Linked DNA regions of Arabidopsis thaliana. The protein of the gene in region 1 interacts with the protein of each later gene in a pairwise test. Each region holds a gene or a part of one and is shown in the gene's direction. Other genes may lie near its edges.

Region 1 (5,114 bases):
CAATCAACACTAGTTCGTGAGGTTGCAGAAGCCACAAACAAACGTGTTTTAGGGCTTCGTGTCTTCTTTTTCTTCAATGTTTAACAAACAGATGAAAAGTGTTATAAACAAGCTTTTCCAAATTTCAGAAAGACAAACATCATACGATTATCTAGTTTAGCATTGCCTTAAGATAGTAAATCCAGAAAACAACTGAATCAAGACAGACATTTCAACAAAGGACTCGAACGAAGACTATCAAACATTCATCATTATTCTGGTTTGGTGTCTTCTTCTTCTTCAATCTTAGGCGCCAGATAGTATCGAATGTAACCCATCTCAGCCACCTTGTACTCCACCACGACCGGTAACTCAGAGGACAAACTGATGGTCACAGTTTCCGACAATGGAGTAGCCTTTGTGAAGGAGTTCATGTACCTCAATGCAAATGAAAGCGAAACAGGCTCGTTCATCTCTATCACAATAGCATCTTCAGGCTGCAAAACACACATACAAACATAAGGTCACTTCAACATTGTATTGGACAGATTATTAAACAAATCTCTCTAGATGACTAGTGATTGTTCATACTTTGTCGACGGTAGTATTCTGCCTGAGCACAATGTTTGCTGTCCCGATATCACCTGCTGTTGAAAACTTCACCCCTTCTTTTGTTACCGAGATCACAACTGCAAAATCATAACATCAAAACCAGAATCATGATTAGAGAATCCTCGCAGTGATACACCAAATAAACAAACAGTTCATTTACCTGTGTCACCAATGCTACTGAGATCTTTGCATATCCTGGAAAATTCACCAGAAGGCATTCTCACAATCGAGTGGTACTCAGCATCAGGAATTCCTAAATGCTCACTGTCGATATCCATCAGCTTCATCTCAAAATCTGCAATCTTGTCTTGTGCTGCATCATCAACACCATTTAAATAATGAGATTAACACCACATAGTCAATATCAAACAAAGTTCCTCTGTTAACTTTCACTAAATCAAGAAACTCTATTCACTTTCAAACTATAGTCTTTAAGCTAGAGACTATACCTATTCTGAAAACAAAAATGGAAGGACTCATTCTCATCAAGCAAGTTCTAGTTTCTGTCAAATGAAACCTATAAATAACAGTTCAGATCACTAATAACATCATTAACTACACAAAAACAAAGCCATATCAAACCTTATTCCAAACCAAAAACCCTCTATTAACATAGATTTTATCTTCTCTTTCATCTCTTACAAACTAAAGCTTTCAAGAAATGGACTGAATCATTCTCTACAATCATATTCTAGCTTCTGGCAAATCAAACCTATAAACACAGAATCAGGTCACCAATAGCATCAACATTGACAACAAAACCAAAGCCCTAACAAACAAAAATCGATTTGAAGAACTTACTGGGACTCTCAAACATGAAAGTAACAGTGTCGCTACCATCATCAGCTTTGATGGTGATGATATCATCATTTCCAGCACATTTCAGCATCTTAGACATATTACCAAGATTCATTCCCATAGAGAGGTTCCTATCGCATCTATAGTGCTCGAAACCTTCAGATCTAAGCAAAAGAGACACCAACGCGACATGGCTCGAATCCATAGCTTGAAGCGAGAACCCTGTGGTCGAACAGTCGAAGTTCGCATCGTTCACCAGATCTTTGACCGCTTCTAGAACCTTCTTCAGTAGAGAACCTTGAACTAAACGAAGCTCCAACATCTTCTGGGAAATTATCGAAAGGTTAGAGTGTGAATCGAAACGGTTAGGGTTTTTAGAGCTGTTGAAATTTCTGGGAGGAGATTGCAATTGTTAGCGGGAAGTGATATTATAAGCTGAGATTTTGTGGCGCCATTTAGCGATTTTAGGGTATTTTTGTTCCCGCCTGTGTGTGACGATGAATTATCATCTGTGTGAGTCCGTATTGTTTATTTCAGTACACCACCATCACTTTAAGCTTTCTTATTTCATGGGTTTAAATTGGGCCAAACAAACATTCGGCCCAACAGCAGCTGTAATATTAAAGATTCCCGAAAAAATCGAAACGAGAGCAAATCTGCTCTTCAAGGTAATCTTCGTGTTCGAGACTGAAGAAGAAATCCAGAAATCATTGAGGAAGGAAGAGAATTAGGAAATGGCGCATAGAATACTGAGAGATCACGAGGCTGATGGATGGGAACGTTCTGATTTCCCAATCATCTGTGAGTCTTGTCTCGGTGACAATCCTTACGTGAGAATGGTATATTCTTCGCTTCCTATGTTTCTCCTCAAACAAATTCGATTTCCTTGCCTTTAGCTAGATTTTTTTTTAACATTCATGTGTCTTTATTAAGATCTCCTTTCATTTGTCCATTTTCGAGCTTGTTTAATGCTTTTATGTTTCTTAGTGTTGAAGCTGCAATTTTAGTGATTTGAGATTTTAGGGTTTAAGCGATTTAATATACAATTCATAACCTTTGGTAAAAATCAGAATTCATGGAGTTGTAGTTCAAAATGATATCTTTGGTTTGTTCTGATCAAATTTGCTTAGAGGGAATGTAATTCATTGAATACTGTCTCATGTTATGTCTGGTAGTGATGTGCAGCTTCATGTTTGATTGATTGATTGATTTATTGTTGTTGTTTGGTATGTAGACAAAGGCGAATTACGATAAAGAGTGTAAGATCTGTACCCGGCCTTTCACGGTTTTCAGATGGCGACCTGGTAGGGATGCGAGATACAAGAAGACTGAAGTTTGTCAGACATGTTGCAAGTTGAAGAATGTGTGCCAAGTTTGTCTCTTGGATCTTGAGTATGGTCTTCCAGTTCAGGTCAGAGACACGGCGCTCAACATTAGTACTCATGATTCTATCCCAAAAAGTGATGTGAACCGAGAGTTTTTCGCTGAAGAGCATGATCGAAAGGTATGGTGACTCTGCGTTCTAACTAGTTATATTATTTGAGTATTGATTGGTTTGAGATTTGGCTATACAGTTTCTCTACTTTGTAATGGCCTATTGAAATGGTTTTGTTTTCTTGTGTAGACGAGAGCTGGACTAGATTATGAGTCTTCTTTTGGGAAGATTCGGCCCAACGATACCATTCGTATGCTTCAAAGGACAACGCCTTACTACAAAAGGAACCGAGCTCATATTTGTAGTTTCTTCATTAGGGGAGAGTGTACAAGAGGTGATGAGTGTCCATACCGTCATGAGATGCCTGAAACAGGAGAGTTATCCCAGCAGAACATTAAAGACCGTTATTATGGGTAAGCATACTTCTAACTTTCATTTTGTTTGAGTATGATAATATTGAGTTACTCCTCAATTTCTTGCTTTGGTATATCATGAAAGAGAGTTATGAAAAATACATCAGTTTGTGTGCGTAAACTGGCTGTTATTTTGGTGATATTGGAACTGTTTTCTCATCTTATTCTTCACTTCCTGCAGTGTAAACGATCCAGTTGCGTTGAAGTTACTTGGCAAGGCTGGGGAGATGGGTACTTTGGAATCTCCAGAGGATCAAAGCATCAGAACGCTTTATGTTGGTGGGCTAAACTCGAGAGTCCTTGAGCAAGACATTCGTGATCAATTCTACGCCCATGGAGAAATCGAATCCATCAGAATCTTGGCTGAGAAAGCATGTGCGTTTGTCACTTACACAACCCGAGAAGGAGCAGAGAAAGCTGCAGAAGAGCTCAGTAACAGGCTAGTTGTCAACGGTCAGAGGCTAAAACTCACATGGGGAAGACCTCAGGTTCCCAAACCTGATCAAGATGGTTCTAACCAACAGGGCAGTGTGGCTCATAGTGGTTTACTACCTCGAGCAGTTATATCTCAGCAACAGAATCAACCTCCACCAATGCTACAATACTATATGCACCCACCACCACCACAACCTCCTCATCAAGACAGACCATTTTACCCATCAATGGACCCTCAGAGAATGGGTGCAGTTAGTTCGTCCAAAGAAAGCGGTTCAAGCACCAGTGACAACAGAGGAGCTTCTTCTTCTTCTTACACTATGCCACCACATGGCCACTATCCTCAGCACCAGCCATACCCGCCACCATCATATGGAGGATATATGCAACCACCTTACCAGCAGTATCCTCCTTACCACCATGGCCATTCACAACAAGCTGATCATGATTACCCACAACAACCAGGTCCCGGTTCAAGGCCTAATCCTCCACATCCAAGTTCAGTCTCTGCTCCACCACCTGACTCTGTGTCTGCAGCACCTTCAGGATCCTCTCAGCAATCTGCTGATGCTGCTGTTACTACTGGTTCGTCTCAATAGGAACCGTTGTCAGTTAAAATGTAGTGCGAATTTCCGGCCATATCTACATTTTGACTTTTTGCTTCTGCTATTTAAAATTAGTTTCCAATGTAAGAGAAGAGAATTGTTACAGTAGTTGTAGACTCTTGTTGACATTATAATTTTGAATTTTTGATAATCCAACATACACATTAAATCCAAGCTGAAACCATAGACAACAAAATTCTCTTGAAGCTTCTTCAAATTCCTCTTTAAACAGCTTTCAATGTTGTATAGATGAGACATATCATACCATCCTCATCAACATAACTATCACAGTTACTGAATGGTTTGATCTTTATAAGCTATGTACCAAGGTTTTAGATTCACAACCAGAAAGAACAAAGGACCTAACCAAATTTACCTAACCATAATCTTATTATTGAAAACAGACATTACAGTGATACAAGACTTAAAAGTTGGACTCAGAGCTTACTAGCTTGTCTACCAAACATAGAATGTCGACCTTCCGCTATAATCTCCCCGGTCATCTTGTTTCTGACTACAACGATTGTTCCTTTATAACCTCCTCTCTCTCCTAACAATCTCGACGTTATCTCCAACTCCTCCTGAAAATTCATTTCCATTTCAATATCATATCTCTCAATCCATTTCTATAGCAAACAAACAGTCCCAAAGTACAGATTGAAAAAAGACTTGAGCAGACTTACACCAAGCTTAGCTTTTGAAAGGAATGCAATAGACATGTCCACTGAAACACTCATAGGTAAGCCTTCGCCATGTACAAGTGCTCCACCAACTTCATCCACAAGATTTGCAATCGCACCATTTGCTAAATTCTTGTCTCTGTCCTGACATTATCAA
Region 2 (6,970 bases), on another chromosome or scaffold:
TTTGTGACAATATTATCTGAATTCGCTATCGCTTCAGATACTATGATGACTGATTGTAGCATTCGATTCATGCAAATTGTGCAAGTAAGTTGATTTTGAACACTGATCTTACTATTTTCTTTGATTCTGTTGGCATAAATTTATAGAAGCTTTATTTGTTCTTTCAGGACATACTTGAGCAGTTAACACACCTAGTTGTGTTACACTTTGGTGAGAGTGTACTAACGAGGATATTGCAACTATATGATAAATACATCGACTTTCTGATCAAAGCCTTGCCTGGCCATTCAGATGAGGATGGTCTACCTGAGCTCCAAGATAATACCGTACTCGCTAGAGCTGAGACAGATTCTGAGCAGCTTGCGCTTCTTGGAGCTGCGTTTACAATACTTGACGAACTTTTACCAAGATCACTTGTTAAAGTCTGGAAACTCCAGATTGAAAATGGCGGAGGAGAAGGTGAGAATAGTGCCGCTCTAAACAGTAGTGCTGCACCGGAACTGAAAGAATGGAAACGCCATATGGTTCAAGCATTTGACAAACTCAGAAACTACTTCTGTCTGCAGTTTGTCTTGAGCTTCATCTACTCTAGGGAAGGACTAACGCGATTAGACGCACTCATTTATTTAACCGAAACACCAGATGACTTGCATCTGCCGTCTTTACCGTTTCAGGTCTCGCCCTCTTCTTTGATCTAGTTTTATAGTTCCCAGTTTATAAGTTTTAGCACACAGAATCATCTGTGTCTGTTCTTATGCAGGCATTGTTTTCTAAGCTACAACAGTTGGCCATAATTGCTGGGGATGTTCTGCTTGGTAAAGAGAAGCTGCAAAAGATTCTACTAGCGAGATTAACAGAGACGGTTATAATCTGGCTATCAAACGAGCAGGAGTTTTGGAGTGCATTCGAGGACGAGTCAAATCCACTTCAGCCATCTGGATTGCAACAGGTAGAAACACTCTCTTTCACCACTCTTATATACCTCAGCTATTCTCTGATCTCAGGCTCAGCAGTCAAAGATTGAAAATTTGAAATGGGAAACAATTGAAACTTGATGTTGAAGTTCATTTCTTGAGAAGATTGGGGTTGAAAGTTGAAGTTTTGTTGTCACGTGTTGCAGTTGATCCTCGACATGAACTTCACAGTGGAGATAGCCAGGTTTGCAGGTTATCCATTTAAAGTAGTTCAGAACCATGCATCAGTGGTGATCAATCGAGCCATCAACATATTCTCGGAAAGAGGCATCAACCCACAAAGGTAATTGAAACAACACTCTTTTTGAATTTTCTTCCAACTCGGTCTCAACATAACGAATTACCTAAAAAGTGTATTATTCTCTTTCACCAGCTCACTCCCGAAGACAGAGTGGTTCACAGAAGCCGCCAAGTCAGCTATCAACAGGCTACTCATGGGGTCTGAGGATGCTTCAGAACCGGAAGAATATGAGTGTGAAGAAGAAGAAGAAGACGATCATCACATCGTCCTCCCTGAGATGGATGACGACTCAGATTCCGAAGATACATCTTCACTCTCCACAGTGGACTCGTTCGAGTCATTTGCCTCTGCAAGCATGGCTGACCTAGAGAGTCCATCTTTCACCGATTCTGAGTCTTGACCACTTTCTTTGTAGTTTGTATCCTGTAGTCAAGTCTCTCAAAACTCTCAAGTTAATATATATAAAGTTAACCGAAATCATCTGCAAATTAAATTACTGGTTTAGATTGGTTTAAGTCAATTAGTATAGGCCCATTGTTAGCCCATTAGGGATGAGGCGGTTCTTGAGGGTTTGTCAAGCATAAAATAATTCAGACAAGCCGGTGAAAAAGAAAAGTCGTACGCGACTCTCTCTCTCTATCTTTTATTTCCTTTGGGAGCAAGGCGGTCTATCACTTTCAGTCGCTATATATAATCTTCCTCATCGCTCCATTTTCTCCTACAGTCTCTTTCTCTCTCTCCCTGAGAAAACAAGGGAGACTAATCGGAATCTCCTGCGTATTTGATTCTTCCGGCGATTGTTTCCTTCTTTATACGCTTTCGTATATTCTTGTCAGGTACCAAACTTTTTCCCCCTCTTTGGTTGTGAGCTTCTAATCATTTGTTTTATCGTTCTCTTTGATTCAGCAATATCGAAGCCAAAATTTGTGTGTTGGTTGGTGTTGGTCACCAAAATTTCTTAGATATGATAAAATAGGGCACTTTGATTTTACCCCCTTTTTTAGATCCCAAAGAAGGAGGAATAGTTTAGGCGTCTTGCTATCAATTTTCGATTCGTTTGATTTGGCTTTAGTTAATTTCAACATCGTTGTAGCTGTGTAAGATTTTATTGTTACGTAGATTGGTTTGCTCGTATTTTCGTGTGTGGTGAATTTATCTGGGCCATCAATGTTTGACATTGCTAGAATCTGAATGTTTCTCATTTGCTTTTCTTTTTGTACAGAAGCACCATTGCTCCAACAGTGACGGGTACAGGATCTAGTTCTGTGTTTGTGGAGTCAAGGCAGAATATGAGCTTTCAAGTCAGGCGAGATAGGAGCGATGATAGGTCTCATCGATTCAATCATCAGCAAACGTGGATTCCTAGAAACTCATCTACCTCGAGCGTGGTGGTAAATGAGCCTTTGCTTCCTCCTAATACAGATAGAAATTCTGAAACCCTTGATGCTGGTTCTGCATCCCGTCCTGTTTATCTGCAAAGGCAGCATAACGCTTCTGGTCCTCCGTCCTATAACCACCACCAAAGGAGTAGTAACATTGGTCCACCTCCACCTAATCAACATAGAAGATATAATGCGCCTGATAACCAGCATCAAAGGAGTGATAACATTGGTCCACCTCAACCTAATCAACATAGAAGATATAATGCGCCTGATAACCAGCATCAAAGGAGTGATAACAGTGGTCCACCTCAACCTTATCGACATAGAAGAAATAATGCTCCTGAGAACCAGCACCAAAGGAGTGATAACATTGGTCCACCTCCACCTAATCGACAAAGAAGGAATAATGCTTCTGGAACTCTGCCAGATAATCGCCAAAGAGTTGCATCTAGGACGCGGCCTGTGAATCAGGGGAAAAGGGTAGCGAAGGAGGAGAATGTTGTGTTGACAGACCCAAACTTGCCTCAACTTGTTCAAGAGTTACAGGAGAAGCTTGTCAAGAGTTCTATTGAGTGTATGATTTGTTATGACAAGGTTGGGAGGTCTGCCAATATCTGGTCATGCTCCAGCTGTTATTCCATCTTCCATATCAACTGTATCAAGAGGTGGGCTCGAGCACCAACTTCAGTTGATTTGCTAGCTGAGAAAAACCAAGGTGATAACTGGAGATGTCCAGGTTGCCAATCTGTACAGTTGACATCATCTAAAGAGATTTCCTATCGGTGCTTTTGTGGAAAGAGAAGAGATCCACCGTCTGACCCATATCTCACTCCACACTCATGCGGGGAACCATGTGGGAAACCGCTGGAGAAAGAGTTTGCACCTGCTGAGACGACTGAAGAGGATCTTTGTCCTCATGTATGTGTTTTGCAGTGTCATCCTGGTCCATGTCCTCCCTGTAAAGCCTTTGCTCCACCTCGTAGCTGTCCTTGTGGGAAAAAGATGGTTACTACTAGATGCTCCGAGCGGAGATCTGATCTTGTTTGTGGGCAGCGTTGCGATAAGCTTCTTAGTTGCGGGCGTCATCAATGTGAAAGGACATGTCATGTTGGCCCTTGTGATCCTTGTCAGGTACTGGTAAATGCCACATGTTTCTGCAAGAAAAAAGTGGAGACTGTCATTTGCGGTGATATGAATGTGAAGGGGGAATTGAAAGCAGAAGATGGTGTCTATTCATGCAGTTTTAACTGTGGGAAGCCTCTTGGATGTGGTAATCATTTCTGTTCCGAGGTATGCCATCCTGGACCTTGCGGGGACTGTGACTTACTGCCCAGTAGAGTTAAGACATGCTATTGTGGGAATACGCGTTTAGAAGAACAGATCAGGCAGAGTTGCTTGGACCCAATTCCTTCTTGTTCAAATGTATGTAGGAAGCTTCTTCCTTGTAGGTTACATACTTGCAATGAGATGTGCCATGCAGGTGATTGCCCGCCTTGTTTAGTCCAAGTTAACCAGAAATGCCGGTGTGGGTCAACATCCAGGGCTGTGGAATGCTACATAACAACTTCCTCAGAGGCAGAGAAGTTTGTGTGCGCTAAGCCATGTGGACGTAAGAAGAACTGTGGGAGACATAGATGTAGCGAGCGTTGCTGCCCTCTCTTGAACGGGAAGAAGAATGATTTATCTGGCGATTGGGACCCACATGTCTGCCAAATACCTTGTCAGAAGAAGCTAAGGTGTGGGCAGCATTCCTGTGAATCTTTATGTCACAGTGGACATTGCCCTCCTTGTCTCGAGATGATCTTCACTGATCTTACATGTGCTTGTGGAAGAACTTCGATTCCTCCTCCACTATCATGTGGGACACCTGTTCCTAGCTGTCAGCTTCCATGCCCGATTCCTCAGCCTTGTGGCCATTCTGATACGCATGGATGCCATTTTGGAGATTGTCCTCCTTGTTCTACCCCTGTGGAAAAGAAGTGCGTTGGTGGTCATGTGGTTCTCAGAAACATACCCTGTGGGTTGAAAGACATTAGATGTACCAAGATTTGTGGAAAGACGAGGCGTTGTGGCATGCATGCTTGTGCCAGAACTTGTCACCCGGAGCCTTGTGACAGCTTCAATGAATCTGAAGCAGGTATGCGTGTTACGTGTAGACAGAAATGTGGTGCTCCTAGAACAGATTGCAGACACACTTGTGCAGCACTCTGCCATCCTTCTGCGCCTTGCCCTGACCTAAGATGTGAATTTTCAGTCACAATTACTTGTTCATGTGGTCGTATAACCGCTACGGTCCCTTGTGATGCTGGGGGAAGAAGTGCCAACGGTTCTAATGTTTACTGTGCGGCCTATGATGAAGCCTCTGTTTTACAGAAGCTTCCAGCTCCACTTCAGCCTGTTGAATCGAGCGGAAACCGTATCCCCCTCGGGCAGAGAAAGCTTTCGTGTGATGATGAGTGTGCGAAGCTGGAGCGTAAGCGGGTTCTTCAAGATGCATTTGATATAACTCCCCCAAATCTGGAGGCATTACATTTCAGCGAGAATTCTGCTATGACAGAGATTATTTCAGACCTTTATAGGCGTGATCCAAAGTGGGTACTGGCTGTTGAAGAGCGCTGCAAGTTCTTGGTACTTGGGAAAGCAAGAGGAAGCACAAGTGCCCTTAAGGTCCATATCTTCTGCCCGATGCAGAAGGATAAACGAGACACGGTTCGACTTATAGCTGAGAGGTGGAAACTTGGTGTTAGCAACGCAGGGTGGGAGCCAAAACGGTTTACAGTGGTTCACGTAACAGCAAAATCGAAACCGCCAACAAGGATCATTGGAGCTAGGGGTGGTGCTATCTCGATAGGAGGGCCACACCCACCGTTCTATGATTCGCTGGTGGATATGGATCCTGGACTTGTGGTTTCTTTTCTGGATCTTCCGAGAGAGGCGAATATCAGCGCCTTGGTACTGAGATTTGGGGGTGAATGTGAGCTTGTTTGGCTGAATGACAAGAATGCTTTAGCGGTGTTCCACGACCATGCCCGAGCTGCCACTGCCATGAGGAGGCTTGAGCACGGTTCAGTATATCATGGAGCTGTGGTTGTCCAGAGCGGCGGGCAATCTCCATCACTTAATAATGTATGGGGAAAATTACCTGGCAGCTCGGCGTGGGATGTTGACAAAGGAAATCCATGGAGGAGAGCTGTGATTCAGGAGAGTGATGACTCCTGGGGAGCTGAAGATTCCCCCATTGGAGGATCATCTACAGATGCTCAAGCCTCTGCGCTGAGATCAGCAAAGAGCAACTCTCCAATTGTTACCTCGGTTAACCGTTGGAGTGTTTTAGAGCCCAAGAAGGCCAGCACATCCACTTTGGAGCCAATTGCTCAGATAGAAGAGAGCAGTAGTTCAAAAACTACCGGTAAACAACCGGTGGAAGGCTCCGGTGAAGAAGTGGTGGATGACTGGGAGAAGGTATGTGAGTGAGAGCATATACCCAACGACTGTGATTGGTTTTCAACTTCTTTGTGATGTATGAAAACGGCAGATTGTTCAGACGTATATAATGGAGACTGTATGCGTGTGCGTATGCTGTGATGAGTCCATTTCAAAGCTTAGGTGATAGCCAACGACGTGCCGTTTTTGTTTTGGCATCTTTGGCGTGCGTTTGGTTTATTTATGTAGTAACTAAAAAAACATCCCATTGTTCAGTAACTTCAGTTATTGTGAAACGGCATGTTTGTAACGCTTTTTTTTTTCTCTTTTATTCTTGACATAATGATGCAACACTAAGGTTGGTTATTCATTCATTAGTACTCTTTATCTTGAAATCATTTTCTCCTCTGCAATTAACGGTTAGGTGCTGAAATCATTAGGAATAGTGAAAAAAAAACTCTTTTATGTGTCATATTCTTTTTTTTTTTTTTTTTTTTTTTTTTTTCATAAATTTCCAATAAAACGAAAAAGGTTACAAGGCTTAGAAGGCCATACAACAGGCACGCAGGCCCAGAGAAGGCACGCAGGCCCAACAACTAACAGAACAAGAAAAAACCGAGAACCTGAATCCCAGCGACGAGGCCCAGAGAGAACCCAAGGACGACAAGATCTCAGCAAAACAAAAGGAGAACAACGCTGAGCCAACAGAGGACCTGCAAAATAAACTCCACATTAACCAGAGACAGGTGAACGCTGAAACACTCCAAACCACGAGGCAAGAAGAGAAGAGCCTGGCTGAGAGACGACGCGGGAAGACCGAGACAGAGGGTCCAACCTAGCCCTAACGATAAGCTGAATTTCCTTGATGATCAAATGAGCTGGTCTAACAGAATTTGAGTGAATGCGAAGATTGCGCTCACGCCAAATGAAATAGACAGAAGCGTGGAAAA

Evidence for each region.
Region 2: the proteins of MAC5B (region 1) and NFXL1 interact in binary tests that used the Arabidopsis thaliana proteins (3 or more experiments, as listed by UniProt).

Annotation. Positions count from the first base shown.
Region 1 is NC_003071.7:12,649,888-12,655,001, forward strand, and holds MAC5B (CCCH-type zinc fingerfamily protein with RNA-binding domain-containing protein), read left to right. Parts: upstream 1-1,938; 5' UTR 1,939-2,123; coding exon 2,124-2,228; intron 2,229-2,623; coding exon 2,624-2,893; intron 2,894-3,013; coding exon 3,014-3,237; intron 3,238-3,418; coding exon 3,419-4,271; 3' UTR 4,272-4,449; downstream 4,450-5,114. Other genes in the region: PCNA2 (proliferating cell nuclear antigen 2), read right to left, coding at 252-476, 571-668, 752-904, 1,393-1,711; AT2G29590 (Thioesterase superfamily protein), read right to left, coding at 4,715-4,858, 4,961-5,101.
Region 2 is NC_003070.9:3,333,026-3,339,995, reverse strand, and holds NFXL1 (NF-X-like 1), read left to right. Parts: upstream 1-1,911; 5' UTR 1,912-2,051; intron 2,052-2,437; 5' UTR 2,438-2,504; coding exon 2,505-6,059; coding exon of another isoform or gene 6,060-6,071; exon of another isoform or gene 6,072-6,132; coding exon 6,133-6,207; 3' UTR 6,208-6,401; downstream 6,402-6,970. Other genes in the region: AT1G10180 (LOW protein: exocyst complex component-like protein), read left to right, coding at 1-84, 168-674, 761-949, 1,121-1,257, 1,348-1,615. UniProt on the Arabidopsis thaliana protein: Mediates E2-dependent ubiquitination. Confers resistance to osmotic stress such as high salinity. Promotes H(2)O(2) production. Negative regulator of some defense-related genes via an salicylic acid (SA)-dependent signaling pathway.